2 linked regions of the Callithrix jacchus genome follow. The protein of the gene in region 1 purifies or fractionates together with the protein of each later gene. This does not show direct contact. Links are inferred from orthologs where the notes say so. Each region holds a gene or a part of one and is shown in the gene's direction. Other genes may lie near its edges. The genes, in order: TOR1A and CANX.

What was found.
Region 2: the proteins of TOR1A (region 1) and CANX purify together in Homo sapiens (affinity purification with mass spectrometry; 4 studies listed by BioGRID and IntAct, counting the BioPlex papers as one, with this or other methods). This does not show direct contact. The link is inferred for Callithrix jacchus from reciprocal best matches to the Homo sapiens genes TOR1A and CANX.

What each region holds. Positions count from the first base shown.
Region 1 is NC_133502.1:178,407,335-178,422,228, reverse strand, and holds TOR1A (torsin-1A), read left to right. Parts: upstream 1-3,014; 5' UTR 3,015-3,078; coding exon 3,079-3,256; intron 3,257-3,990; coding exon 3,991-4,256; intron 4,257-8,053; coding exon 8,054-8,229; intron 8,230-8,326; coding exon 8,327-8,454; intron 8,455-13,428; coding exon 13,429-13,679; 3' UTR 13,680-14,683; downstream 14,684-14,894. UniProt on the Homo sapiens protein: Protein with chaperone functions important for the control of protein folding, processing, stability and localization as well as for the reduction of misfolded protein aggregates.
Region 2 is NC_133503.1:71,966,833-71,982,097, reverse strand, and holds the start of CANX (calnexin), read left to right. Parts: upstream 1-6,261; intron 6,262-6,316; coding exon of another isoform or gene 6,317-6,334; intron 6,335-7,242; 5' UTR 7,243-7,363; intron 7,364-15,265. Other genes in the region: CBY3 (sperm annulus positionning complex subunit Chibby3), read right to left, coding at 5,605-6,261, 6,317-6,334. UniProt on the Homo sapiens protein: Calcium-binding protein that interacts with newly synthesized monoglucosylated glycoproteins in the endoplasmic reticulum. It may act in assisting protein assembly and/or in the retention within the ER of unassembled protein subunits.

The sequences.
Region 1 (14,894 bases):
ACAGCTGGAGGAAGAGCACGTGTCTGCAGCATTCAACAGCATGCTAAGGACACAGACTTTGCCACCGATTGTCTATCCAGGTGTTTTGGCAAGAGAGGTGCAGCAGATAAGGTGCCATAAGGTTTGACCACACCCAGTGCATCAAGGGGATTTTATCTCCCTACCATTGTGGACACAGAACAATCAGAATTGCTCCATATTGTGAGAACATACAGCCTGTGGTGTTCTGGTGTCTCTGCCTTACAAGGCTTTCCGGCCTTACCAGCACCCATCTGCGAAGACCCTCCCGAGTCTTAGGAGCAGATGTTGCATTTCCTTCCCAGAGTCTTTTGCATAAGCTCCCTTTACAAGATCCTTGAACACACTCTATGTTGGGAAGATCTGTGTGACCAAAGCAGTTTTTCCTGCTCTGCAGCCACACCGCAGTGTTCCGCAGTTCTAGGACGCTCTCAGATGGTCTTTACCACAGGCCTCCTGTTACCGCTTGATCTAGCTTTTATTTTACTGCACCATAGTTTGGATGTGATCTGTGGTGCAAATCTCAGTGTATAAAAAGCAAAGCAAGCTTGTAATCATTTAACTATAAATAACACAGGTCTGCCCTGGCCATCTCTTCCCACACATGGGGACATCCTTCTAAAGAGTAGAGTATAGAGGGGAGGGGAGAAGAGTAAGTGTACAGTGGGGAGACTTGACGAACACTACCTCAGTCAAGTGATCAAGTTAGTGCCAACAGTGATAGGTAATGTTGACGGTAAGAACCCTCCCTTGGTAGGATAAGTTGAGCATAGCATTTTACCGTTGTGATTGTCCTTCCAAAACCCCATAACGCTAGTCAAATCCTGAGAAAAACATCAGATTCCAATAGAGGGCCAGCCTACCAAAGATTTGGCCAGTACTCCTCAAACTATCAAGGTCATCAAAAATAAAAGGCAGAGGCCGGGCACGGTGGCTCACGCCTGTAGTCCCAAACCTTTGGGAGACCAAGGTGGGTGGATCATGAGGTCAGGAGATCAAGACCAGCCTGGTGAACATGGTGAAACCCCACATCTACTAAAAATACAAAAATTAGTCGAGCATGGTGGTGTGTGCCTATAATTCCAGCTACTCAGAGGCTGAGGCAGGAGAATCACTTGAACCAGGGAGCCAGAGGTTACAGTGAGCTGAGACCACATCACTACAATACAGAATAAAAAATAAAAATAAAAGGCTGAGACACTGCCACTAACAGGAGTCTAAGACATGATAGCTAAATGTAATGTGGTATCCTGAATGGAAACTGCTAGGTCTCCATATGCAATCCTGGAGTCTGAAACTCTGGGTCCTGCTTGCATAGGCTGAAGTCTCCCATCCACAGCCTGCATTCGCCATTGTCCCTGATCCCCTCACCCAACCCTGCCATCTTAACTGTTCTTATGATAATGTAAATACCTCTCACCCAATCCTGCCATTGTAACTGAACTTGTGGTCATGTATACTCCCTTGCCCCTACCCCCCACCACTGTAACTGAACTTACATCGCCGCCCCCCTGAAAAACTACCCAAACCTATAAAACCAACTCCTATCCCACTGCTCTTTGCTAATGCCCTTTTCGGCCTTAGCCCACCGGCACCCAGGTAAATAAACAGCCATGTTGCTCACACAAAGCCTGTTTGGAAGGTCTTTTCATTCAAAGCACGCGCTTTTCAACAGAAACCTGGAGCAGAAAAAGGCATTAAGTCAAAGTAAGGAAATCCGAATAAACTGTACACTTTAGTTAATAATAATATAACAGTGCTTCATTAATTGTAACAAATGTTGCACACTAACAATTTGATGTTAGTATGCGGGCGCGGTGGCTCACGCCTATAATCCCAGCACTGTGGGAGGCCGAGGCGGGTGGATCACGAGGTCAACAGATCGAGACCATCCTGGTCAACATGGTGAAACCCTCTCTCTACTAAAAATACAAAAATTAGCTGGGCATGGTGGCACGAGCCTGTAGTCCCAGCTACTCGGGAGGCTGAGGCAGGAGAATTGCTTGAACCCAGGAAGCGGAGGTTGCGGTGAGCCAAGATCGCGCCACTGCACTCCAGCCTGGGTAAACAAGAGCGAAACTCCGTCTCAAAAAAAAAAAGATTTTAGTAACGAGAAATTGCAGGGAGGAGTGGCACATGGGAACTCTCTGTACTATCTTCTCAATTTTTCTGTAAATCTGTTCTAAAAAAAAAAGTCCATTACCTTTTTTTTGGCGGGGGGAGGAAAGAGACTCACTCTGTCGCCCAGGCTGGAATGCAGTGGTGCGATCTCAGCTTACTGCAACCTCCGCCTCCCAGGTTCAAGCGATTCTCATGTGTCAGCCTCCCCAGTAGCTGGAACTACAGGTACACACCACCACACTGGCTAATTTTATATTTTTAGTAGAGACGTGGTTTCACCATGTTGGTCAGGCTGGTCTGGAATTCCTGACCTCAGGGGATCCACCCGCCTCAGCTTCCCAAAGGGCTGGGATTACAGGCGTGAGCCACCACGCCCGCAAAAATAACCTCGATTACTTTAATTTTTTTTTTTTTTTTGAGACGGAGTTTCGCTCTTGTTACCCAGGGTGGAGTGCAATGGCGCGATTTCGGCTCACCGCAACCTCCGCCTCCTGGGTTCAGGCAATTCTCCTGCCTCAGCCTCCCGAGTAGCTGGGATTACAGGCACGCGCCAGCATGCCCAGCTAATTTTTTGTATTTTTAGTAGAGACGGGGTTTCACCATGTTGACCAGGATGGTCTTGATCTCTTGACCTCGTGATCCACCCGCCTCGGCCTCCCAAAGTGCTGGGATTACAGGCTTGAGCCACCGCGCCTGGCCAACCTCGATTACTTTAAACAAACAAACAAAAACACGTGGCCGACAAGGGCAGTGCAGAACAGACCTTCCGGAAGCAAAACAAGGCTTTGTCCCGAAGAAAGATGGCGGCCGCCGGCGTCGGTAGGAGGGCTGCCCTGAAGAAAGATGGCCTTCGCGGCAGGAGGAACCGGAAGCGCGAGTCTGGCGGCGGTACTAGTGCGCGGTCGGCGCCAGAACGCGCAGGGCGGCGCGGGTCCGGGCATGAAGCTGAGCCGGGCTGCGCTGGGCCTGCTGCTGCTGGCGCCGTCCGTGGTGCAGGCGGTAGAGCCCATCAGCCTGGGACTGGCCCTGGCCGGCGTCCTCACCGGCTACATCTACCCGCGTCTCTACTGCCTCTTCGCCGAGTGCTGCGGCCAGAAGCGGAGCCTCAGCCGGGAGGGTAGGATGGGGAGGGGGCTGGAGGCTGGGGCTGGGGCTGGGCGATGGCACTGGGGCCAGGCCAGGACCTGGGGATGGAGGCTGGGGGATGGGGGATGGCACTAGGGCCCGGCCCGGATAGGGGTCAAATCCCAGGACGGCCGGGCCTGGGCAGAGCTGAGTCCACGGGGGCTGAACCCCGGAAGCCGAGCGGCCCGCCTTCAGGATGAGGCCTGGCTCCTTGGCCACGACCACAGACGGGCCAGACTTCAGTCGGTGACCAGAGGAGCCGGTCTGCAGGTTGGGCTGCTTCGCGCCACGCTGGGCAGGAGGGGGAACCGGTGGTAACCTCCCTCCGAAGGGGGTTCTGCCTCCTAGCAGAACGGGAGACAGGAAGGATGGTGAGGACTCTTCCGGAGCCGACAGGAGCGGCCAAACTGCCTCCCTTCCTCGCTCTGCCTTGGGGTGGGAGGAGCAGCACAGAAGTTAGGGGTGCAAACTGGTGGCTGTGGCATGGGCACCGAGGCCCTTTTCGGGAAGGAGCCGGGCCAGGGCTTTAGAATAGGCAGGACCAGCAAAGGGAGGCCCTGGACCGCCGTCCGCACTGGGCCAGGAGCTTACAGCCCGTAGTACTTAAGGTTTCGCAAGGTGCTTGAAGAGCGCCTAGGCGGCTTTGCCGGCTTTCTCATGGGCTGTAGATGTGGCTACCTTTTGCCACTCTTTCTTCCCCACTCCCGATTGCCTTTGTCTTTCCAGCGCTGCAGAAGGATCTGGACAACAAGCTCTTTGGACAGCATCTTGCAAAGAAAATCATCTTAAATGCTGTGTTTGGTTTCATAAACAACCCAAAGCCCAAGAAACCTCTCACCCTCTCCCTGCATGGGTGGACGGGCACCGGCAAAAATTTCGTCAGCAAGATCATCGCGGAGAATATTTACGAGGGTGGTCTCAACAGTGACTATGTCCACCTGTTTGTGGCCACACTGCACTTTCCACATGCCTCAAACATCACCTTGTACAAGGCGAGGATGGAAGTTTGGGACCCTTTCCTGGATGTCGTGGGGTTTGGGATCTCTTTGTTGTGGGATGAGATTTGGGAATTCTGTGTTGAAATGAACAAGTCCTGAAATGGTTCACGTCTCAGTTCCCCTTTGAAAGGTGTAGAAATTACAGAGAGTTTGGGCTGCATGGAGCAGTTAACACCATCAAAGCTGCATTGTGGTGGGTTCTGGAAACAGGTCCAGTGAGTACCTACGGTCATGGAATTTTAGGGGTGGATGTGATCAGATCCATCTTAGAGATCATCACATCTCACTCCTTGTCTTTCTTTTTGTTTTCTTTTTGTGTGCGTGAGACGGAGTTTCATTCTTGTCGCCCAGGCTGGAGTGCGGTGGCATGATCTCAGCTCATTGCACCCTCCACCTCCTGGTTCAAGCAACTCTCTTACCTCAGCCTCCTGAGTAGCTGGGATTACAGGCATGTGGTACGACACCCAGCTAATTTTTGTATTTTTAGTAGACATGGGGTTTTGCCAAGTTGACTAGGCTGGCCTCAAACTCCTGACCTCAGGTGATCTGCCCGCCTCGGCCTCCCAAAGTGCTGGGATTACAGGCGTGAGCCACCACGCCTGGGTACATCTCATTTATTTTGTCAAAGAGGAATCATATGTAGCAAGTCCTAAATTGGCTGAACCTACTGCCTCCAAACTGCTTTTTTTTTTCTTTGTGACAGAGTCTCACTCTGTTGTCCAGGCTGGAGTGCGGTGATGCCATCTTGACTCACTGCATTCTCTGCCTTCTGGGTTCAAGTGGTTCTCCTACCTCATCCTCCCAAGTAGCTGTGACTACAGATGTGTACCACCACACCCAGCTAATGTTTGTATTTTTAGTAGAGACAGAGTTTCCCCATGTTGGTCAGGCTGGTCTTGGACTCCTGACCTCAAGTGATCCACTCACCACAGCCTCCCAGAATGCAGGATTATAGGTGTGAGCCACCTCATCCAGCCACAAACTGCTTTTATGGTTGAACTCACTGATTAGCAGCTTGGGCTTTGGCAGCAGACACACCTGGATTTGAGTCCTAACTTTCCTAGCTCCAGAGTCTTGGGAAAGTTGCCTGATCTGAGACATAGGTTCTGACTTACAAAGTGTTGCTTGTAACAATCCAGGGAGCTCTGTCAAGTGTGTAATGTGCCTGGTGCATATTACAAACAGTTGTTAACTGTTGCCTTGTAGATCCTTGTAACAGACCCTGCAAGATGGGCAAAACAATCAGTTTTTTATTTTATTTTATTTGAGACTGAGATCTTGTGTGGCTCAGGTTGGAGTGCAGTGGCGTGATCTTGGCTCACGGAAAGCTCTGCCTCCTGGGTTCAAGCTATTCTGCCTCAGCCTCCCAAGTAGCTGGGACTACTCGCGCCTGCCACCACACCCAGATAATTTTTGTATTTTTAGTAGAGATGGGGTTTCACCATGTTGGCCAGGCTGGTCCTGATCTGACCTCAGGTGATCCACCTGCCTCGGCCTCCCACAGTGCTGGGATTACAGGCATGAGCCACTGCACCCAGCCGCAATCCGTTATTTATCCCGGACTCTTCATAGGAAAAGTGTGGACACGTTTTTCTTTTTCTCTCTCTTTTTTTTTTTGATAGAGCCTCTCTCTTGTTACCACTCAGGCTGGAGTGCAGTGGCACGATCTTGGCTCACTACAACCTCCGCCTCCTGGGTTCTAGTGATTCTCCTGCTTCAGCCTCCTGAGTAGCTGGGATGCACCACCACACCCGGCTAATTTTGTATTTTTAGTAGAGATGAGGTTTCTCCATATTGGTCAGGCTGGTCTCACATTCCTAACCTCAGGTGATCCGCCTGTCTCAGCCTCTGAAAGTGCTGGGATTACAGGCATGAGCCACTGCCCAGATACATTTTTCCCTTCTGTCTGGGTAAGCAGGTGGGTCACCCACTATCTAGTGGCTCTGTCTGGGTAAGCAGGTGGGTCACCCACTGTCTAGTGGTTCTGTACTAAAACAGGAACGTTCTATGGATGTGGTGGCTCACCCCTATAATTCTAGCACTATGGGAAGCTGAAACTTGAGCTCAGGAGTTCTAGACCAGCTTGGGCAACATGGTAAAACCCCATCTCTACTAAAAAAATACAAAAAATCTATTCAGGCTTGGTGGCACGCACCTGTAGTCCCACTTACTTGGGGAGCTGAGGCAGGAAGATGGCTTGAAACTGGCAGGTTGAGGCTGCAGTGAGCACAGAGCCACTGCACTCTGGTCTGGGCGACAGAGGGAGACCCTGTCCCAAACAAACAGGAACCATTCTAGATAAATCAGGATGAGTTGGTCATGGTAGAACTGAGGTTTCACTAAGAATAACTGTGTCTTTGGGCAAGTTACTTCACTCGTTTGTGCCTCAGTTTCCTGATTTGTAAAAGGAACACAACAATAACTACTATGATGGGTTTTAGGAGGTCACAGTAATATGTTTTGTGAACAGGCCAGGTATGGTGGCTCACGCATGTAATTCCAGCAATTTGGGAGGCCAAGGCTGGGGGATCATTTGAGGTCGAGATTTCAAGACCAGCCTGGCCAACATGGCGAACACCCACCCGCCACCCCCCCGGTCTCTACAAAAATATAAAAATTATTTGGGTGTGGTGGCAGCTACCTGTAATCGCAGCTACTCAGAAGGCTGAGGGAAGAGAATCACTTGAACCTGGGAGGCAGAGGTTGCAGTGAGCCAGGACCACACCACTGCACTCCAGCCTGGGCAACAGAGTGAGACTCTGTCTCAAAAAATATATATATGGGCCAGGCGTGGTGGCTCACACCTGTAATCCAAGCACTTTGGAGGCCAAGGCGGGCAAATCACCTGAGGTCGAGAGTTCAAGACCAGCCTGACCAACATGGTGAAACCCTGTCTTTAAAAAAAAAAAATATATATATATATATATATATATGAACAGTCCTTAGAATATTGTCATGCCCATAGTGAGTGCTCAGTACGTTTCCTATTACCACGTATAAATTGGGTCACCAGAGTAGGAAAACCTTGGCTGCTGGAGCTTAACAGGTCTGGGTGAATCCTTATTTATTTTATTTATTTTTTATTTTTATTTTTTGAGATGGAGTCTTGCTCTGTCACCCAGACTAGAGTGGCAGTGCGGCGATCTCAGCTCACTACAACCTCTGCCTCCTGAGTTCAAGCGATTCTCAAGCCACAGTCTCCGGAGTACCCGGGATTACAGGTGTCTGCCACCATGCCCAGCTAATTTTTGTATTTTTAATAGACGGGGTTTTACCATGTTGGCCAGGCTGGTCTCGAACCCCTGACCTCAACTGATCTGCCTGCCTCAGCCTTCCAAAGTGCTGGGATTACAGGTGTGAGCCACCACGCCCAGCCCCGCCCCCTTTTAAAATAAAGATCAGTATCCTCCTGACATCCCACATGACCTCTTTGGTGACAAAAGAGCAGCAGCTCTCAGCATCCATGTGGTGTCTTGCAGTGCAGGAATCAAAGTGTTGGGCTTTGGCGTCAGGCAGGACTGGGTTCAGGTCCCAGCTCTGCCATATACTCATTTTATAGTCGGGCAAGTGGAGTAAGCTCTCTCTGTGCCTCAGTTCCCTCATCTGTGAAATGTGTATGAGAGTGCCCACTCCACGGGGATGTTAGGAACAGAGAAGATTTTGCACGTGTGAAGTTCTTGGTGCTGAGGGCACAGTGGTCTGTAAGTGAAGCTGTGGCTCTCAGTGGCAGAAGGAGGTGCCCGATGGCCCTGGCTGAGAACTTTGTGTTGGCTTTTCCCCTTCTACTTCAGGACCAGTTACAGTTGTGGATTCGAGGCAACGTGAGCGCCTGTGCGAGGTCCATCTTCATATTCGATGAAATGGATAAGATGCATGCAGGTCTCATAGATGCCATCAAGCCTTTCCTTGACTACTACGACCTGGTGGATGGGGTCTCCTACCAGAAAGCCATCTTTATATTTCTCAGGTAAGGTCCGGGCTAGGACATGAGGGACGGGCCTCGAGCCTGAGCCTCTGAGCTCTGGGAGAAAACCCCGTCCTTACCCACTGGAACTGTTTTGCAGCAATGCTGGAGCAGAAAGGATCACAGATGTGGCTTTAGATTTCTGGAGGAGTGGAAAGCAGAGGGAAGACATCAAGCTCAAAGACATTGAACACGCCTTATCTGTGTCGGTTTTCAATAACAAAAACAGTGAGTAGGGCTGTCCACCACCAGTCCCATCTGGTTCCTAATCCTGCACCCTAATTGTGAAAGCGTTAGGGTCACCATCACCATCACCTGGGAGCTGGGTAGAAATGTAGATTCTCAGTCCCCTTCCGAGTCAGAACTCACGAGGGGAATCTTTGTTGACAAACTCCAGGTAACTTTAATGAACACTGATGTTTGAAAAGTGCTATTTTATTTTTATTTTTTTGGAGACAGTTTCACTATTGCCCAGACTGGAGTGCAGTGGCAAGATCTCGGCTCACTGAAACCTCCAGCTTCCGTGTTCGAGCAATTCTTGTGCCTCAGTCTCCCTTTTAGCTGGGATTGCAGGTGCACACCACCATGCCCGGCTAATATTTATATTTTTAGTAGAAATGGATTTTGTCATGTTGGCCATGCTGGTCTTGAACTCTTGACCTCAGGTGATCTGCCTGCCTGGGCCTCCCAAAGTGCTGGGATTACAGGCTTGAGCCACTGCGCCCAGTTTATTTTTTGAGACAGGATCTTGTTCTGTCACTCAGGCTGGAGTGCAATGGTGTGATCTCAGCTCACTGGAGTCTTGACATCCTAGGCTCAGCCACCCACGTAAGTGGAACCACAGACTTGTGCCGCCGTCTCTTTTTGTAGAGATGGGGTCTTCCTATGTTGCCCAGGCTGGTCTTGACTTCCTGGACTCAAGTGATCCTCCTGCCTCAGCCTCCCAAAGTGCTGGAATTACAGGCATGGGCTACCACACCTGGCCTGCTATTTTAAGTAATGAGGAAAATTGTTGGTCGTTGAGATCTTGAAGATTAGTTCCCCCCTCCCTTTTTTTCTTTTTGAGATGGAGTTTAGCTCTTGTTGCCCAGGCTGGAGTGCAGTGGTGCTGTCTCAGCTCACTGCAACTTCCACCTCCCAGGTTCAAGTGATTCTTCCACCTCAGACTCCTAAGTAGCTGGTATTACAGGCGCCTGCCACCAGACCTGGCTAATTTTTGTATTTTTAGTAGAAACGTGGTTTTACCGTGTTAGCCAGGCTGGTCTTGAATTCCGGACCTCAGGTTATCTGCCCAATCCGCCCATCTCGGCCTCTCAAAGTGCTGGGATTATAGGTGTGAGCCACCACGCCCAGTCAGTTCCCCCATTTTCTTCAGCTACGTGATTTTCTTCGTAGAAGAAAGAGCCAGTGGTTGAGCAAGGAAGGCTGCCGTGGGCAGCTCAAGGGGAGGGATGACCCATTAGTTACTCCCTTTCTCTGCATTGCCCAAGAGCAACAGCCAAATCGTGGCCGGACCCTTACTCTGTACTGGGTGCCGTGTGAAACACTGCCTGCGGATTTCACTCAGTCTTCCCCATACCTTGTAGGGTAGAGACTGAGACTCAAAGATATATGGCAGCTTGCCCAGGGCCAGGCAGCCTGGGAATCTTATGAGACCTTTGACCTTGAACCCAGGGAGGTAGAAAGCCAGCTTGATGGAGGCCGACTCACCAGCTGACACTTGTGGGTTGTACAGGGCTGTTCACACCTTTGCTCCTCAAGTTCTGGAGATGACAGAACAGAAGGGCACATTTGAAACAGACTTGCCAGGAAGTTCATGCTACAGTTAGTGAACAGCGTGGGGCACTGTATGTCAATTTGTGCAAGTGGAATACTACTGAGGCAAGACAAGTATTTTGTAACATGCTGGACAGTTTCTTGGCTTGCCAAAAAGCATGCACACATGCCGCAGAAACTGTAGAAATGCTGAGGTGGATGAGGCTAGTGGCCCAGAACCCACGCAGTGGAGGTTACACGGCATTCCGGAGTGCAGACTTGGGAGTCGCGTAGCCCTGGCCCACAGACTGACTGTGACCCTGGGTAGATGGCTGAACTCATTCAGCAGACGTATGTGGAGCATCTGGTAGGTTCCAGGAATCCTACCTAGGACTGGGGATAGCCGTGAACAAACACAGAAATTCTTGCCCTTAGGCCAGGCGCAGTGGCTCACACCTGTAATCACAGCACTTTGGGAGGCCAAAGTGTGTGGATCACTGGAGGTTGGGAGTTCAAGACCAGCCTGACCAACATGGAGAAACCCCGTCTCTACTAAAAATACAAAAATTAGTCGGGCATGGTGGCACATGCCTGTAATCCCAGCTACTTGGGAGGCTAAGGCTGGAGAATTGCTTGAACCTGGAAGGCAGAGGATGCAGTGACCTGAGACTGTGCCATTGCACTGCAGCCTGGGCAACAAGAGTGAGACTCCATCTCAAAGAAAATAAAAGAAATTCTTGCCCTTATAGATCTTACATCCTAGTGATAAGAAAGAAAGAAAATGGACCGGGTGCAGTGGCTCTTGCCTGTAATTCCAGCACTTTGGGAGGTCAAGGCAGGCGGATCATGAGGTCAGGAGTTCAAGACCAGCCTGGGCCAACATGGTGTAACCACGTCTCTAGTAAAAATACAAAAATTAGCAGGGTGTGGTGGCGAGTGCCTGTAATCACAGCTACTCGGGAGGCCAAGGTAGGAGAATCACTTGAACCTGGGAGGTGGAGGTTGCAGTGAGGCAAGACCGTGCCATTGCACTCCAGCTTGCCTACACAGCAAGACTCTGACAGAAAAAAAAAAAGAAAGAAAGAAATGAGAAGAAAGGGAAAAGAGAGTATCAGATGGTGGGGGATACATATGTTTATGTGTTTAATGTGTTCATGTGTGTATATACGTGCAATACATACGCACACATCACACATGGACACACATAAACATATATATCTTTCCCCTCAGGGCTAGGAGGGGAAAAAATCAAGAAAGACATTGGGGTACAGGGTAAGGATGGGCTCTACGTTAATAGAGTGGTCAGGAAAAGCTCCCTTTGAGGGTGGCATTTGGGCTGACCCAAGGGCATGAGCCATGTGGATGTCTGAGGGAAAGCATGCCCCAGAGCCAGCAGCACTTCCAGGGGTCTGAGGGGGCCTGTGCTTGGGTCACTGTGAGTGGTCCAGGATAAACAGGAGGGGAACAGGAGGTGATAGAAGAGCTGAGATTTGGGGTGGAGATATAGACCATGGAAAGCCTTGTGGGCCATGTGAGCCTTGGTTTTTATTCCAAGTGGAAGAGAGAGGCTGCAGGGTCCAAGGCAGGTGGTGCTCTGATCTGACGGGGTCTTCACAGGAGCTTGCTGGCCACTGGGTGGAGGACAGACCCACAGTCACAGGGGCAGGGAGCTCAGCACGAAAGCAGTGGTGGTGGAGAGACACGGTCGGGTTCTGGGTGTGTTTTGAAGGTAGAACCTGTAAGACTTCCTGCAGAATTGTACATGGGAATGAGAGAAGAACCAAGGACCTGGCTTGAGTGATGGGAAGGATGGCCCTGCTATTGAAGGGAAGTGACAGCAGGAAGGATGGATGAGCTCAGTGAGCAATGGCATCTGGGACATCAGAGCAGAGCGGTGGAGCTCCAGAGAGGCCTTCAGGCTAGGAGGGCAAACCTGGGAGTCCTCAGGAGATGCTTGTAAAGTCTCAGGGCTGCCTGAGGTCACCTGTTCTGCTGACACTCCCTGGTCCGTGTAGCTGGGTCCTAGTCGTTCAGGCACTGCCCTGAGGTCCTGCCCAGCCTGGCTTCATGGGAGCACCTGGCCCTTGCCTCCCGCCATCATGTCTGTTCTGTGTAGCATTTGCCGCTCCCAGCACCATCTGAGATTGTTTCCTAGCACAATTGTCGGGTGTCTCCTGCCCTAGCGTGGTAAAGCCGTGAGGGCTGGCTGCCCTCAGCTGTGTCCCCAGGCCCAGGGCATGGCTGGCACAGAGCAGGCCTCCAAGAACGAGCCTCGCACGTGAGCTTTCGATAGCAAGACTGCCCCTTGTTCCTGTTCAGTGGTTGGTCCTGTTCTTTCCCTGGCCACGAGCTCCACTCTATCCAGTCGGCCACACATTTACTGAGCACTGGTTGTGTGCAAAGCACTGTTGGGCATGAAAAGCATTAACCCGGTGATTGAGGAGGAGCTTGGGTTGGGGACTGGGTCCCGGAATTACCTGGCAGAGCAGAAGGGAAACAGCTCACGGGAAGACACCCTTGGGCTGGTGGACGATGCAGTGTGTGTGTCATCTGGGGCTGGGAGCGGATGTCCTGGGTCAGGAGCTCCAGGAGTAGTAGACGGGGCAGGTGCAAAGCCTGTCCTCACTCAGGGGAGAAAACAGGGCCGAGGCCAGGCCTTCATGGGGAGCTCAGTGTGGGCTCAGCACTCCCGAGGCTAGTTTTGGTGCCCACATGCTCTATAGGGGTTGGGCACTGTGGCAGTGGCAGCAGGCTTCTACCCTGTGGCTGGTCCAGCTGCTGAAACTTCAGGAGAGTCAAAATTTTCCCAAATAAGGGGGTGTGGCTGGTAGAGTCGTTCCCGGAACTCTTCCTGCTTCTGCTTTCTGTGGAACTCGGCCTTCCCCACTCCGCACCTCTGCTTATTCCTGGGCCCCAGGACCCTGGGCTCATGACCTTCTTTCCCACCTGCGATCTCTAAGTCACACCTTGGGAGGCCTCCCCCAGCTGCAGTGTAAAAGAGGGTGTCCCTTTCTACTCTGTCACAGAAGCATCTCAGTGTGCAGGTGCCTGTTAACATCTGCTCCTCATTGGTCCGGAGCTTCATAAGGGAGAGGGCACAGCCAGTAGATGTGTGTGGAATGGATGGGAGGGTGACCCCCAGGAGACATGTGTGGGACGGATGGGAGTCCCACATGTTTAAAATTTTAAAACATTAAAAAAAATTTTTTTTTAATTATGTTTTAATTCCAAGTGTTTCTGTTTCAATGAAGGGTGAATAAGTTTTACTGAACATGTGATAACTTTATTTAAAATGGTTTTTAGCATTGTGAGAGACTGCTCAGATTCTGGGTGTGTAGGTGGGTGACCCCCAGTAGACGTGTGTGGGTGGGGTGGTGAGTGAGCCCAGGAGAAATGTATAGGGCGGGCGGGTGGATGTGGATGAACAGCACTTGTTTTTTCTTCCAGGTGGCTTCTGGCACAGCAGCTTAATTGACCGGAACCTCATTGATTATTTTGTTCCCTTCCTCCCCCTGGAATACAAACACCTAAAAATGTGTATCAGAGTCGAAATGCAGTCCCGAGGCTATGACATTGATGAAGACATTGTAAGCAGAGTGGCTGAGGAGATGACATTTTTCCCCAAAGAGGAGAGAGTTTTCTCAGATAAAGGCTGCAAAACCGTGTTTACCAAGTTAGATTATTACTACGATGATTGACAGCCATGATTGACAGCGAGAGTCACTGCCTGGAGTTGGAGAGGAAACTCCACACTCAGTCCTTCCCATGCCTCTGCCCCCTGCTCCTTTCCCTGAGGAGGACTCAAGTGAATGTTTCCTGTTTGATGTGACAGGAATTCTCCGGGCATGGTTTCCATCCCTGGTGCCTGCAGGCCACCTTGGGACCATGGGCGAGGACAGGAGGCCTCCCGAGCCCTCAGAGAAGGAAGGAGCCAGCTCCCAGCACACTCATCGCAGGGCTCATGATTTTTTAAAAATTATGTTTTAATTCCAAGTGTTTCTGTTTCAAGGAAGGATGAGTAAGTTTTACTGAAAATGTGGTAACTTTATCTAAAATGGTTTTTAACATTGTGAGAGACTGCTCAGATTCTGGGTTGTTGGCCTTGTGTGTGTGTTTTTTAAGTTCCCATCATCATAACATAGACTGTGATGTATCTTTACTGCAAATGAGCCCAAGCGCACGTGCATGGCATCGGTTCCACAGGAGGGCATCGCTGGGGATGTGGCTGGAGCACGAGCCAGCTCTGTCCCAGGAGGGTCCCAGCAGGCGCTGCCAGGGCAATGAAGTGTTTAGATGAAGGACAAGTAGGTAAGAGGAGACCTTTAGGCACTGCAGATAAGCCTGAAATGGCCTCACCAAGGGTTTTAACCTTCACAACAGTGGGAGCTGTGGGAATGATCTTGGCAACATTGTCAGCAATTGTTAGAAAAGCATCTGCAGCTTGTCACTTCCCAGTCACTGGTGTTGCAGAAGGCGGCCCTTCACTGTCCATTCCTGAATGAGCCACATGTGCTCTCTGCTGGAATCTAAATTATGTGAATTTTGCCATATTAAATCTTAATTTATCATATTTTCTGTTATGTTCAATCAGAATTCCCAAAACCTAAAAAGCTTAGCTGCCCCTTCTGAGGATGCTGAGAACTGTGTCTTTATTTATAAATGCAAATGGCTACCATTTTACAATAAAATGTTGCGTGTGTCATTGGTTGAGTACATTTTTGAAGAGGGTGTAGGCCTTATGAGGTGAGGCTACCAGTGAAGACCTAGCAGGTCAATCCAGGTTGGAATGAAACAAAGTCTCACACAGAGCTCTAAGGATCCTAGGACACCTCTGTCCCCTCACCCAGTGATCTGGGAAGTTGCCCTCCATCGGGGGTTCTTGGAGCTCCTGATGTCCAGCCACAGAGTTCAAG
Region 2 (15,265 bases), on another chromosome or scaffold:
TGGAAGTAGGGCTGGGGTCAGAAGAGCTTCGCCCCACCCTACCGGAGGGTTCCCAGTGACATATGGGTCTGCTCTGGGGACCACCCCCCAAAGCTGCAATGGGGACTCTGGACATGCACAGTTGTTTTCTTCCTCTCAGATGCCAACAAGTCCTCTCCTGGCACCTGTGGAAAAAGCAAGAGACAAAGCCTGAACAGGTAGAAGAAATGTGAGTGTGCAGAGGTGGCATGACCAGGGGAAGGCAGACAGTGCCTGTGCCCCCATGTCTGCCCCACTCTCCTGCTATCCCATCAGGACCCTCAACAGGTTCAAGGAGGATGAGGATGCTGACGAGCCTCACCTGACCTGATGTGACCTTTGTTTGTTATGCTGGAAATCCCTACAGGCAGGTGAAGGATGCCCAGAGAACATCCTCCAGGGAACACACCCTCTCCATAGCAGCCTGTGAGCCTGCTAGGCTGAGCCCTCCACAGGCTGCTCTAATGAGAGATAGGCTGAGGTGCTGGTCCAGCTACTACATGCAGGATTCTGAGGCCACACACCATGTTCTTGTCTGCAGTGCCACTGAAGCTCATTTGAGGGGACCCAGCTCTGCCCTCCCAGCCTCCTGAAGCCAATAGGGAGCATCACCAGTTTGTCATGAGCAGACATTGGGGCTGACCATGAACCCCCACGTTTCATGCCTCCTGGGAAAGGTGTGAGAGGGAGGGAGGCACCCCCGGGCTTTGCCATGCTGGCAAGCAGCCCACCCAGCCCAGCACTGCACACCCGCGGGCACTCAGTAGATCCTGGTGTCAAATAGGGGAAAAGCCAGGATCCAGGACCCCCTGGGGTGTGCCCAGTCCCAGCAGCTCCTCAGCCTCCATGGAGCCCTGGGGCCTGGGGTGGCCTCCTGGCCCCATTTCTCAACATGAGGTTGGAGACTTCTGTGTGTAGAGAGCACTGGCTTGGGCATCGATAGTTCTGTGTCTGTGTCCGATGCCAACAAAAGAAACCCTGGAAGACAAGTCAGGGCTGTGGTCACTTGGGAGAAGTTAAGGGGCACGATTCAGGGAGCCACTGTTTTAAATGTATTTTCCTATTCGAAATTTACATATACATACAAATGTGTGTTTGTCTGTATTATATATAAATACTTTAAAACGTAGTGTTTTCTGTAATCCTTTTATGCTGGAATGTATTACGTGGGAAATGTGTGTTTTGCCAAAGCATAATGATTTCCTGAATGAAAATGCACAGACAGGGTTGGTGGGGTGTTGGAAGGACCAAGTATTCTTAGGCCGTAACGATGACATGCTCCAGGAAGCTGCACACATTTAACGTGCAGTTCTTCCATCTGGATGGCATGGAGGGTCCAGGGGGAGGGCAGGTCACCACCCTGCCCTGTGTCATCAGACCTCCTGCTCCTCCCAGGGCCCGAAGGGATGGGACTCTGCCTGTTGATCTTTGAGCCTCCGCCTCCCTCTGCATCTGTTTCAGTATCTGGGTGTCCAGCCCCCTAAAGATGCCCACGTGTGTGCCTGAGCTCAGTGCCTCCTACAGGACATTTATAGACACTCTGAGCACAGGCAACCCCCTCACAGAGAGCAGCACCCAGGCCAGAGCCCTGTGGACAGACTCTGGGGAGGCCAGGGCCCCAAGGTCACCTTCCAGGGCCTGAGGAGCCCTCTGAGACCTGCACACCCACCCCAGAGAGCTCCTCCTCCTTCCTCCTCTATGCTCCCCAGTGACCTTTGAACCTCTGTGTTGCAGATTTTTTGAATATCTGGAAGGACCTGGACACAAGACCTCACCCTGGCCCAGCGACCATCTGGATAGTGAGAGTTTTAGGGACTGTGCTACATACACTTTCTGGACTTTTATATTGTTTAATTTTTAAAAAAATATTCTTGGCCGGGCGCGGTGGCTCACGCCTATAACCCCAGCACTTTGGGAGGCCGAGGCGGGTGGATCACGAGGTCAAGAGATCAAGACCATCCTTGATCTCTTGTGTTTTTAGTAGAGAGAGGTGAAACCCCATCTCTACTAAAAATACAAAAATTAGCTGGGCATAGTGGTGCGCGCCTGTAGTCCCAGCTACTCGGGAGGCTGAGGCAGGAGAACTGCTTGAACCCAGAAGACGGAGGTTGCGGTGAGCCGAGATTGTGCCATTGCACTCCAGTATGGGTAACAACAGCGAAACTCCATCTCAAAAACAAAAACAAAAAAAAAAATTCTTACTTTAGGCTAGGCGCAGTGGCTCATGCCTGTAATCCCAGCACTTTGGGAGGCCAAGGAGGGCGGATCACTAGGTCAAGAGATTGAGATCATCCTGGCCAACATGGTGAAATCCTGTTGTGGGCAGGCGACTGTATTCCCAGCTACGCGGGAGGCTGAGTAAGGAGAACTGCTTGAATCCAGGAAGCGGAGACTGCAGTGAGCTGAGGTTGTGCCACTGCACTCCAGCCTGGTAACAGAGCAAGACTCCGGCTCAAAACAAAACAAAATTCTTACTTTTTTTTGTAAGACAGAAGCTGTCATTGTAGCTTACATTTTATTCCTTAAGTAATTTTTCAATTGTTTTAGTTTTTTTTAATTTTTGTCCAATTATTCTGGAATTTTCATAATTTTGACAGATGTTTTATGCTTTGTATTATTTTCTTAATGACTTTTACCTTAGTTTTTAAAAAAAAATCCATGGTACAGTAAGTTATAGTAAGACATAGTATTTTTATTTTAGTAGTTTATATTCTGTACATATTTTCACATATGTGTTAATGTCCAGGCATGGTGGCTCACACCTGTAATCCCAGCACTTTGAGAGGCCAAGACAGGAGGATCATTTGAGCCCAGGAATTGGAGACCGGCCTGGACAACACAGTGAGACTTCATCCCTACTAAAAAAATATACACACACATATAATATTAGCTGGTCATGGTGGCTAAATTTTTATTTTGGCTTATTTATGGTGACTTATCTTTTATTTTTCATGAAAATGGGGTTTTACCATGTTGCTCCGGCTGGTCTCACACTCCTGGGCTCAAGAGATCCTCCCACCTTAGCCTCTGAAAGTGCAGGGATTACAGGCATGAGGAAGACAAGATTTTTTTTCCAAGATAGAAGACCCAATGAGATCCTTACTCCTGCTTCATCTTTTTTTTTTCTTTTTGAGACTGAGTCTTGCACTGTCACCCAAGCTGCAATGCAGTGGCGTGATCTCAGATCACTGCAACCTGTGTCTCCCAGGTTAAAGAAATCTTCCTACCTCAGCCTCCCACATAGCTAGGATTAAAGTCTCGTACCAGCACACCCAGCTATTTTTGTATTTTTAGTAGAGGCAGTGCTTCACCATGTTGGCCAGGCTGGTCTAAAACTCCTGACATCAGGTGATCTGCCAGCCTCAGCTTCCCAAAGTGCTGGGATTACAGGTGTGAGCCACCACAGCCAGCCCTCATCTCGCCTCTTGCTTGACAAACCTACACAACCTTTTTGACCTACATAGCTCTATTCCCCAGAGGATTCTGAGCTGTAGGAGGTAAAAGCCAGGGTCCTTTGTTCCTGCTTTCTACTCTGTCACTTTCATCTCCTGGGCCAATGAATTTGGCTGTTCCCAAGCAGGGCTCAGGACCAGGGTGTGAAATTCCAGAGCAGGAAGAACAAAGTCAGATATTAAAAAATGTCATCCTGATCCATTTAGTTCAGGTCCTTGATCCACTTGGATGCCTCTTTCTAAACAGGACCTGCACTGGGCTGTGGGGCTTCCTGCCTGCTGCAGGTTTGGTGGGACAGGTACCTTTCTCTGCCCTAGGACTGTATTTGTTTTCAGGTAGTCTGGCCAAAGCAATATTCGCTAAACTTAAGCATTCCTGGATCACCTTTATGAGTTTTGCTATTTTGGCATTCTACATTTAAGTTTTTCTTTACTTTTTTATGTAAAGTGTCTTCCTCCTTTTACTTATTTGTGATAAAATTCACATAAAATTCGTTTTGAAGTATACCATTCAGTGACCTTTATTATGATGTTGTGCAACTATCACCACCAGAGTTCTAATTTCTCCTCATACCAAAAGGAAGCCCCATTGTGTTTCCCCCCAACACACACACACAAACTCCCTCCTCCCACCCCTTGGTAACTTAAGCTGTTTCTATGAACTTGCCTATTCTGGAATTTTTTTTTTAAGAGGTTCTCATTAGGTTGCCTAGGCTGACCTCAAGCTCCTGGGCTTAAAGGGACCCTCTCACCTCAGCTTCTTGAGTAGCTGGGACTTCAGGTGTGTGCCAGCATGCTTGGCAATTCTGGATTTTTTTTTTTTTGAGATAGGGTCTCATTTTGTTACCCAGGTTGGGGTGCAGTGGCGTGATGTCGGCTCACTGTAACCTCCACCTCCTGAGTTCAAGCAATTCTCCTGCCTCAGCCTCACGAGTAGCTGGGATTACAGGTGCCTGCCATCACACCCAGCTAGTTTTTTTGTATTTTGGTAGAGATGGGGTTTCACCGTGTTGTCCAGGTTGGTCTCGAACTCCTGAGCTCTGGTAATCCACCCGCCTGTCTCCCAAAGTGCTAGTATTACTGGCACCCGACACGGCTCTCAGCCAACTTTTGGTATTTTTAGTAAAGAGGAGGTTTCAGCTTGTTGGCCAGGCTGGTCTTGAACTCCTGACCTCAAGTGATCAGCCTGCCTGGGCCTCCCAAAGTGCTGGGATTACAGCCGTGAGCCACCACGACCGGCCCCAATAAATCTGGATTTTTAATGTGTTATCTCCAAATTCTGAAACCTTGGCAACAAATGCAATTTTTAAGATTGTGGGTAGAGAAGACCGCATTCTATGGAAGCATAAAAGGAGGCCTGTGCTGGGCGCGGTGGTTTACGCCTGTAATCCCACCAGTATGGGAGGCTGAGGTGGGAGGACTGCTTGAGCCCGGAAGGTCTAGGTTGCAGTGAGCCATGATCGCGCCACTGCACTCCAGCCTGGGTGACAGAGCCAGACCCAGTGTTTAGGGAAAAAAAAAAAAAAAAAAAAGGAGGCCTGTAACAGAGACGCAACTCTCCAAAATGCCACACCGGCAAGTGGGGACCGCACAACCCAAGGTTTCGAGAAAGCTTCTCTTGGGAATGTAAAATACACTTACCCTAGGACTCCTAGTTTCTAAACCTCCTGATCCTAGAGGCCCAGAGGACCGACCAAGTGCAAAGCCCCCCCACACTGTTCTCAGCTCCTGCCGCACCGCACCCTCTATTCCCTGAGCGCCACGGTTCCTCCGCCTGCGGGACTTCGCCCTCGGTTACTTGTATGGCTTGCAAGGCCATTACCTGCCACTCCACCCTGTCTGGGCCCTGCCCGAGGCAAGCCTGGCTTCCAGCCCGCGCTCCCGAAGTCACGCGCAGACCCTCCTCCACGGCCCCATCGCACCCTCCCGAGATGCGTTGCTTAGGGTTGCGTCCCCCGCCGACACCCAGCACCGAGGGGCAGTCCCCGAGGCCACGCAGACCGCCCCCGCCCGCACGCAAAACCTCGCCCAGGGAACAGAAACCGCCACAGTCCCTGGCGGGTCAGGGTTAGTCACAAGGAACGAGGCGCGCATGCGCAGCGCGGGCTTTATTACGTCACTGCGAGTCCAGAACTCAAGGCTGGATCCTGAGCACGTCCCCGCTGGCGCCTGCGCGCTTGCGCATCTTCCTCTGTCGGGCGTGCGCTGCAGCAGCCGGAGTCACCTCGAGGTTGAGCTGCTTTTCCAGCAGGTGCATGCGCGCCGTGGTCTCAGTCAGCATATTCATGAGCACTTCCTGCTGCAGCTTCAGGTAGTTGCTCTCCTTCAGCAACACCTGGATCGTGGTCCACTGCTCCTGCGCCTTCCAGCCCGAGACGGTCGGCGCCAAGTGACCCTCCGTTGTCCACCGGCCGCCGCGGAACTCGAAGGCCTGGTTTTCGAGGCGTATGCGCGGCGCGCCGTAGCAGAGGCCCAGCTCGGCCTGGCGCTTGCTGTAATCCAGCAGGTAGGAGGTGGACAGGGAGGAGATGCGGCGCGCTGGCGGCCGCCGTGGCGAGAAGCGCCGCGAGATGTGATCGGCCCAAAACTGCCGCAGCTGCTCCCACACGTGGCTGGCATGGCTCGTAGTCAGGCACTCGAAGGTTGCCATGGCGAGTGCTGGGTGGACCTTGTAGGGCACGCAGGTGCTAGGAGGGGAGCCTCGGGAGTGCTGGCGACTCCCCAGCACTGGCTGCGCTCTTGCCTCGGGAACCTGGATGTCCAGAATGATGAAGGCGAGCCAGAGGGGCTGCTGGGAGGCAAGAGTATGAGTGAGCAGCTTGCTCAATACAGGCTGCCTATCAAACCTCGAGGCCGGTGGACATGGCTTAGCCCTGCAGCTAGGGTTGCGGCTGTGGCTAACCAGGTGCTGGCCACCGAGGAGCCCGTCCCTCCACGCTGCACAGGCAGCCGTCTCACCTAAATCACCTTACCCAAAGACCACTGAGTATCAGGCGCTGGGATAAATATGCAGATGAAGGACGCTAGGAGCGCCCTGTTCTCTTAGTTTCAGCTGGAAGGGTGAGGGGTAGGGAATGGTAGCAGAGACAAGTAGGTATTGAAAGGAGTAGGACTTTGCCAGGTGAGCTGAGGATGGAAAATGGAGAGCAGAAAGGCAGAGGGAAGAGCCAAGCAGGGTTGTTTGTTTATTTGTTTGTTTTTGTTTTTATAGACGTAGTTTCGCTCTTGTTGTCCTGGCTGGAGTGCAATGGCACGGTCTCTGCTCACTGCAACCTCTGCCTCCCAGGTTCAAACAATTCTCCTGCCCCAGCCTCCAGAGTAGCTGGGATTACAGGCACCCGCCACCATGCCTGGCTAATTTTTTTGGTATTTTTAGTAGAGATGGGGTTTCACCATGTTTGCCAGGCTGGTCTCGAACTCCTGACCTCAGGTGATCCGCCCACCTCTCCCTCCCAAAGTGCTGGGATTACAGGTGTGAGCCACCGCACCCGACAGGACTTTCATGTTTCAGATGTGAACACGAGCTTGGATAGGATTGGTGCTGAGAAGAGCAGAAGAGGAAGCTGGGAAGGTGGACCGGGGCACTATGTGAGGGTGCTGCACAGGCAGGCTCAGAAGCTTATACTTCTTTTTGTGTGTAAGAGGGAACTGCTGAAGGCTTACAAAGCTAGGGTTAGATCTGGATTCTGGAAACAATCTGGGAGGGTGTCTAGCATAGCCAACAGCATGATTGCCCTCATCATTCAGTCAACTAGCATATTCTCTGTGCCAGGTCCTGGTCTTGGAAGGAGGACCTGAAACAGCCTCTGCCTGCCCTCAAGATGCTCCTGATCCAGCTTGGAAGACAGATGCCTGTGTAGACCACGGTCCAGTGTGTTCACTGACATCCTAGGGTGTGTGCCATGGGCTAGAGCTATGCATAGGGCTCAAAGTAACAGACATGACAGATTGTGCACACTAGACATGACTTTTGTTCCAAACATATTATGTCCTAAGGGAATCCAAAGTCCAGATAACAGACAAGTCCCATTTTGCTCACTTCTCCCTGTACTCCCCTGCCCAGTAAGTGCTGATTCTATTATGTGAAAAAGGGAGCTATGTGTTTTTGTTTGTTTGTTTTTGTGATGGAGTCTCGCTCTGTAGCCCAGGTTGGAGTGCAGTGGCATGATCTCAGCTCACTGCCACCTCTACCTCCCGGGTTCAAGCAATTCTCCTACTTCAGCCTCCCTAGTAGCTGGGACTACCTGCACATGCCACCACGCCTGGCTAATTTTTTGTATTTTTAGTAGAGATGAGGTTTCACAGTGTTAGCCAGGATGGTCTCAATCTAACTTTGTGATCTGCCCGCCTTGGTCTCTCAAAGTGCTAGGATTACAGGCATGAGCCAACACACCTGGCCAAGGAGTTATATGTTGTTTTTAATTTCTCTTCTGCCCATGGACAGTGAGAAGAAAAAGAATTTGAGCAGGCTTCCCTCTTATACCTTCGTTAATTCATAACACACTTATCCCTCACGTATAGCTGGGCAGAGGCTGGATGGTACATGCCATCCCCAAGATGTGGTTTAGGGAGATGGTCTCTGGAAGTCCACATCTAGGCCCACCCTTGAGATTGCATCTTGTCAGAGGACCCTTCCCCATTAGTTCTCACTGTATGTTGTGCCTCACCTGGAAGATGTGGTGGAGTTGCTGAGCTCCTGTCCCAGGCCTGGCTCCGTCTCTGACCCACTCAGCTAGTGTCTACCTGCTATGACTCACAATGCCTCCAGGCCAGGCTATCCCAGGTCAGAAGGGTTGCTGAATGCTGAGCTGTCAGACAGACCCAGGGCTCTCTGCTGCATGCATTCAGTGCATCATTCATCACGTACTGTTTTCTAGGAACAATTCTAGGGAAGTGAAGAAGATATTGCCCTCATTAAGCTGTCATCCTTGGCAGGGGAATGAAGGGGGTGGTCATAAGCAGAGTCCAAGACAGGAATTTGTTCTAGAGGAACCAATAAGATAGTTTCTGAGGAAGCTAACAGAGGGTGTCATGGGTCAGGTTCCCTAGAAGCAGAGCCTAAGATGATCATTCTTGCTCGAGTGAATTATTGGGGAAGTGCTCTCAGGAGAAGAGGGTGAGGGAAGCAAGACAGGGCAGGGAAAAAGGCTAAGGCTGAGGCAGAGTGTGGTCTCACATAGAGACTAGCTTCCGCTTGCTGTCATGGAGAACTGTGAGCACAAATGGCATCACACTTAGGCCTCCTTAAGGCAAGGGAGCCAGTCTTTTGTATCCTTCTACATGTTAGTTATGGCAGGGGCAGCTAAGAGTTACCAGGCAGCACCTAGAGCACCTATGGGATGAGTGCACCACCAGTGATAGGAATTTTGGTGGAGCACCAACTGAGCAGGGAGGAAGATAATAGAATAGATGATGGCAAGGTGCAGTGTGGCTCACACGTGTAATCTTAGCACTTTGGGAGGCCAAGATGGGTGGATCACCTGAGGTCAGGAGTTGGAGACCAGCCTGGCCAACATGGTGAAACCCTATCTCTAGTAAAGCTACAAATACAAAATTAGCCAGGCGTGGTGGCATGGGCCTGTAGTCCCAGCTACTCAGGAGGCTGAGGCAGGAGAATCCCTTCAGGCTGGGAGGCAGAGGTTGCAGTGAGCCGAGATTGCGCCATTGCACTCCATCCTGGACAAAAAGAGCAAAATTCTGTCTCAAAATAAAAAAAGGAATAAGAATAGATGAAAATGAAAGGGCAGACTGGCCAACATGGCAAAACTCCACCTCTACAAAAAAACTATTAGCTGGGCATGGTGGCATGCGTCTGTAGTCCCAGCTACTCAAGAGTCTGAGGTGGGAGCATCACCTGAGCTCAAGAGGTTGAAGCTGCAGTGAGCAGTCATTGTGCCACTGCACTCCAGCATAGGTGATAGATACCCTGTATTAAAAAATTCAAAAAAAAAAAAAAGTGCCGGGCACCGTGTTTCACACCTGTAAATTCCAGCATTTTGTAAGGGCAACAAGAGTGAAACTTCATCCCCCCAACCCAAAAAAAGGAATGACTAAATGAGTAAGAATGCCTAGGCCAGGCATGGTGGCTCACGCCTGTAATCCCAGCACTGGGAGGCTAAGGTGGGCAGATCACAAGGTCAGGAGATAGAGACTATCCTGGCTAACACTGAAACCCTGTCTTTACTAAAAATACAAAAAATTAGCCAGGTGTGGTGGCATGCACCTGTAGTCCCCGCCACTCAGGAGGCTGAGGCAGGAGAATCACTTGAACCCAGGAGGTAGAGGTTGTTGTCAGCCAAGATCACATCACTGCACTCCAGCCTGGATAGCAGTGAGATTCCATCTCAAAACACACACACACACACACACACACACACACACACACAAAGACTAGTTCTGATATGTACAGTGAAGAAAACAAAATTGAAATACAGAAAGTGATTTGGGGACAGGGTGAGGGTAGGAACTAATTTAGTCATTGTGCTCAGTGAAGGCCCTTGACGTTCATGCTAAAACCTGAACAATGAGGAGACCCCAGTCCCTTGAAGACTTCGGGGTTCAGGAAGCAAGTAGCTGGGCATGTTTGAAGGACAAGTGCCATGTGTGCAGACAGTGGAAGGAAATGAAATCTGTCTTACCTGCTAAGCCCACCCACTTGACTGCAGGGGACAGACCCAGCTCCAGGAGAGCTCAAAAGCTGGAGCAGAGCCCAGTGATAGTGCCACCTCCTAGGAAATTTCTGTAATAGTTTTATTGAGGTATAATTGACATAATCAACTACATATATTTCTAATGAATAATGTGAAGTGTTTTGATCATTTGTTATGTGAAATCATTCCCAAAATCGAGATAATGAAGTTATCCATCTGGAGTTATCCATTACCTCTAGAAGTTTCCTCTGTTCCCATCACTACATACTAATTTGCATTTTCTATTTATATGTGTATATATGTGTGTGTGTGCGCGTGCGTGTGTGTGTGTATTTATTTATTTATTTATTTTTTGGACAGAGTCTTGATTTGTTGCCCAGGCTGGAGTGCAGTGATGGGATCTCTGCTAACTGCAGCCTCCGCCCTCCCGGGGGAAAGTGATTCTCCTGCCTCAGCCTCCCAAGTAGCTGGGATTACAGGTGCCTGCCACCACACTGGGCTATTTTTTGTATTTTTAGTAGAGAAAGGGTTTTACCATGTTGGCTGGGCTGATCCTGAACTCCTGGCTTCAAGTGATCTGCCCACCTTGGCCTCCCAAAGTGCTGGGATTACAGGCATGAGCCACTGTGCCTGCCTCAGCATGTATTTTTTTGACATTGGCTTCTTGCAGCATAATTATTTTAAGATTTATCCCTGTTGTTGTATTTATTAACAATTCTTTGCTTTTTATTGCTGAATAGTATTTCATTGTATGGAAACACCACACAATGTGTTTTTCCATTCAGCTGTTGATGCACATTTGGGTTGTTTCCAGTTTTGGAGCTATTGCAAATAAAACTGCCCTGAACATTTCTGTTGTCTTTGCCTGGACACATGCTTTCATTTCTCTTGAGTAAATGCCTAGGAGTAGAATGGCTGGGCCATATGGCAGGTGCTTGTTTACCTTTTTATGAATCTGCCAAACTTTTTCCAAAATGGTTGCACTGCATCCCCACCAACAGTGAGTGAAAGTTTCTGTTTTTCCGTATCCTCGCCAACACTTGGTTTGGTAAACATTGTTTTTTAAAAAAATTTGCTTAATTAAAAGTATTGGTGGTGTTTTTGAGACAGGGTCTCACTGAGGTGCCCAGGCTGGTCTCAAACTCCTGGGTTCAAGCGATCCTCCCACCAGGGCTACCCAAAGTGCTAGGATTACAGGCAGGAGCCACAGAGCCCAGCTAGTAAGCCTTTTTAATTTTAGCCATTACGGTAGCGTGTCTAAATTGTAGGGGTTTTGTTGTTTTAAATTTTTAACAGCAGGCTGGACGTAGTGGCTCACGCCTGTAATCCCAGCACTTGGGGAGGCCGAAGCGGACATATCACAAGGTCAGGAGTTTGGGACCAGATTGGACAACATGGTGAAACCCCGTCTCTACTTAAAAAAATAGAAAGATTGTGCCACTGCACTCCAGTGTGGGTGACAGAGCGAGACTCTGTCTCAGAAAAAAAGAAAAAAAAATTTTTTTTTAACAGCAAGCAGATTCTTAATAAATTTGTTTTCTTATTTTTTGAGATGGAGTTTTGCTTTTGCTGCTCAAGCTGGAGTGCAATGTTGTGATTTCAGCTCACTGCAAACTCCACCTCCTGGGTTCAAGCAATTCTGCCTCAGCCTCTCAAGTAGCAGGGATTATAGGCGTGCGCCACCATGCCTGGCTAATTTTGTGTGGTTTTTTTTTTTTTGAGACGGAGTTTCACTCTTGTTACCCAGGCTGGAGTGCAATGGCGCAATCTCGGCTCACCGCAACCTCCGCCTCCTGGGTTCAGGCAATTCTCCTGCCTCAGCCTCCCGAGTAGCTGGGATTACAGGCACGTGCCACCATGCCCAGCTAATTTTTTGTATCTTTAGTAGAGACGGGGTTTCACCATGTTGACCAGGATGGTCTCGATCTCTTGACCTTGTGATCCACCCGCCTCAGCCTCCCAAAGTGCTGGGATTACAGGCTTGAGCCACTGCGCCCGGCCTTAATTTTGTGTTTTATTAGAGATGGATGGGGTTTCACCATGTTGGTCAGACTGGTCTTGAACTCCTGACCTCAGGTAATTCGCCTGCCTCAGCCTCCCAAAGTGCTGGGATTATAAGCGTGAGCCACTGTACACAGCCTGCAGTTATTAAATGCTAGATAAAAGTCCTTTGTTGGATATGTTTCAAAAGTATTTCCTCCCAGTCTGTGGCTTGCCTTTTAGGGCAAAAGGTTTTAGTTTTGATGATGTCCAATTTACCACATTTTTTCCTTTTTCAGATTTTTTTGTGTCATATTTACAAACTCTTTGCCAAACATAAAGTTACTAAGATTTTTCTCCTGTGTTTCATTCTAGAAGTTTTATAGTTTTAGCTTTATATTTAGGTCTGTGCTCCACTTTACGTTAATTTTTGTTTATGGTGTTTTGTTTTTTTTTTCCACACAAATGCCAGACTGACTCAGCACCATTCACAGAAAAGACTGGCCTTTCCCACACTAATTGCAGTGGTGTTTGTGTTATTTATCACATGACTGTGGAGGTGTGGCTTTGCTCATCATGTGACTATGGATGTGGCTATTTCTGTGTTCTGTGTTCTTTTGCCTGGTCTGTTTATCCTTGCACCAATACTGTTGATACCTGGTAGTATAAATCTTCCAATAATATGTTTAAGATTGCTTTGGCTTTCTAGGTCCTTTGTATTTCTATATAAATTTTAGAATTCACGGCCAGGCACTGTGGTTCACGCCTGTAATCCCAGTACTTTGGAAGGCCAAAGCGGGTGGATTACCTGAGGTCAAGAGGTTGAGACCAGCCTGTCAATGTACTGAAAGCCTGTCTCTACTAAAAATACAAAAACTAGCCAGGCATGGTGGTAGATACCTGTTATCCCAGCTACTTGGGAGACTGAGGCATGAGAATCACTTGAACCTGGGAGGCCGTGGTTGCAGTGAGCTGAGATCACACCATTGCACTCCAGCCTCGGTGACACAAGGAAATCCTGTCTCCAAACAAAAAGAAAAAAACAGAATTCAAATGTCAGTGTTCACCAACAAACCCTCATGCTCATTATTTAAAGCTTTCTCTTCTTGTCATGAGGACACTCGAGCTCAAATCAACCCCAGGAAGGTCGCCTGATGGACATGGAATTGGAGCCCAGGAATATTTTAACCAAGACAGTAATTCATATTCATTCTTTCTCCACAGTGGGTCTATGTTATTAAAGTCAATTTTCAGTGAGGTGTGGTGGCTCATGCCTGTAATCCCAGCACTTGGGAGTCTGAGGTGGGCAGATCACTTGAGGCCAGGAGTTCAAGACCAGCCTGGCCAACATGTGAAACCCATCTCTATTAAAAATTTAAAAAAAAATTAGCTGGGCATGGTGACATGTGCCTGTAATTGCAGCTAATTAGGAGGCTGAGGCAGGAGAATCACTTGAAGCCAGTCTAGGTGACAGAGGGAGAATCTGTCTCGAAAACAACAACAACAAAAAACATATTTCAGACAGATCATAGGTGACCACCAGGAATGGTATACAACTTCCCTTATTTCATGGACTCCCAAAAAGAGAAAGCTACAAAACCCAAGGAAGTCGTTCTTTTTTCTTTTTTGAGACAGAGTTTCACTCTTGTTACCCAGACTGGAGTGCACAATCTCGGCTCACCACAACCTCCGCCTCCTGGGTTCAAGCAGTTCTCCTGCCTCAGCCTCCCAAGTAGCTGGGACTACAGGTGCGGCACCACCATGCCCAGCTAATTTTTGTATTTTTAGTAGAGACGGGGTTTCACCATGTTGACCAGGATGGTCTTGATCTCTTGACCTCGTGATCCACCCACCTCGGCCTCCCAAAGTGCTGGGATTATAGGCATGAACCACCCCGCCCGGCCTCTTTTTCTTCTTTTTTTAGTTCTCCCCTACTCCTCAATGTCCTTGTTTGATTATTTGAATAAGAGAAGTTAGGAGAGATGATGCGTAATTCCCACTTAACATGCATGTTAACTCCTTTCACAAGAAGACCTTGATTTTGAGGACATTTAGTGAAGACTTCAGAATTTAAAGATTTACAATTAAAAAAAAAATGGCTCATGGTTCCTTTGAGGATCCCCATCTAAGTCACTGAAAAAATGAAGTTTGGAGCCCATGAGGAAGGGGAGGGTGTGCCACCAGGTCCAACAGGTCTGAGTTGAAGGACAAAGTTTTTTCTGATGGCAGAAAGGAAAGGAGAAGAGCACCTGAAGATTTTTCCACATCACAAGCATTTGTACCACATTGGGGCTGTGAATCACAATGAGTGAGAATGTCAGTGGGTCTTTTCTGGCAAAGAGGAATATCCCCCAAACCAAGGAAGCTAAATCTTGTTTTTCCCCATGGAAGTTTCAGTCTGGCTTCTGAGATATTCTGTTAGTGATATTTGCCCATCCCTGAAACAACATGGTGTTTGTTCTCTGTGCTAATACAGCTTTAAAAAAATGTTGACTGGGCGCAGTGGCTTATGCCTGTAATCCTAGCACTCTGGGAGGCCGAAGCTGGTGGATCACTTGAGCCCAATTCATGACAAGCCTGGGCAACATGGTGAGGCCTCGTCTCCACAAAATATACAAAAATTAGATGTGGTAGTGGGCACCTGTACTCCCAGCTACTCGGGAGGCTAAGGTGAGAGCATCACCTGAGCCTGGGAGTTGGAGGCTGCCATAAGCCTTAATCACACCACTGGATTTCAGTCTGGTGACAGAATGAGACCCTGTCTCAAAAAATAAAAAAGATAAACAGGTATTTTTCTTTTTTAAAAGCACACACTTCACTCAGCACCTCCATTTTCTCTCTTTTTTGCAAGCTGCCTTTTCAGGAAGAACAAATTTACCATCTCCTCTTTGGTTCATCATTCATTTTGCCTTTTTCTTTTTTTTTTTTCTTTCGCCCAGGCTGGAGTGCAATGGTGCAACCTCCACCTTCCAGTTGCAAGTGATTCATTCTCCTGTCTCAGCCTCCCGAGTAGCAGGGATTACAGGTGCCTGCTACCACACCCGGCTAATTTTTGTATTTTTAGTAGAGACGGGGTTTCATCGTGTTGGCCAGGCTGGTCTCCAGCTCCTGACCTTGTGATCTGCCTGCCTTGGCCTCCTAAAGTGCTGGGATTACAGGCATGAG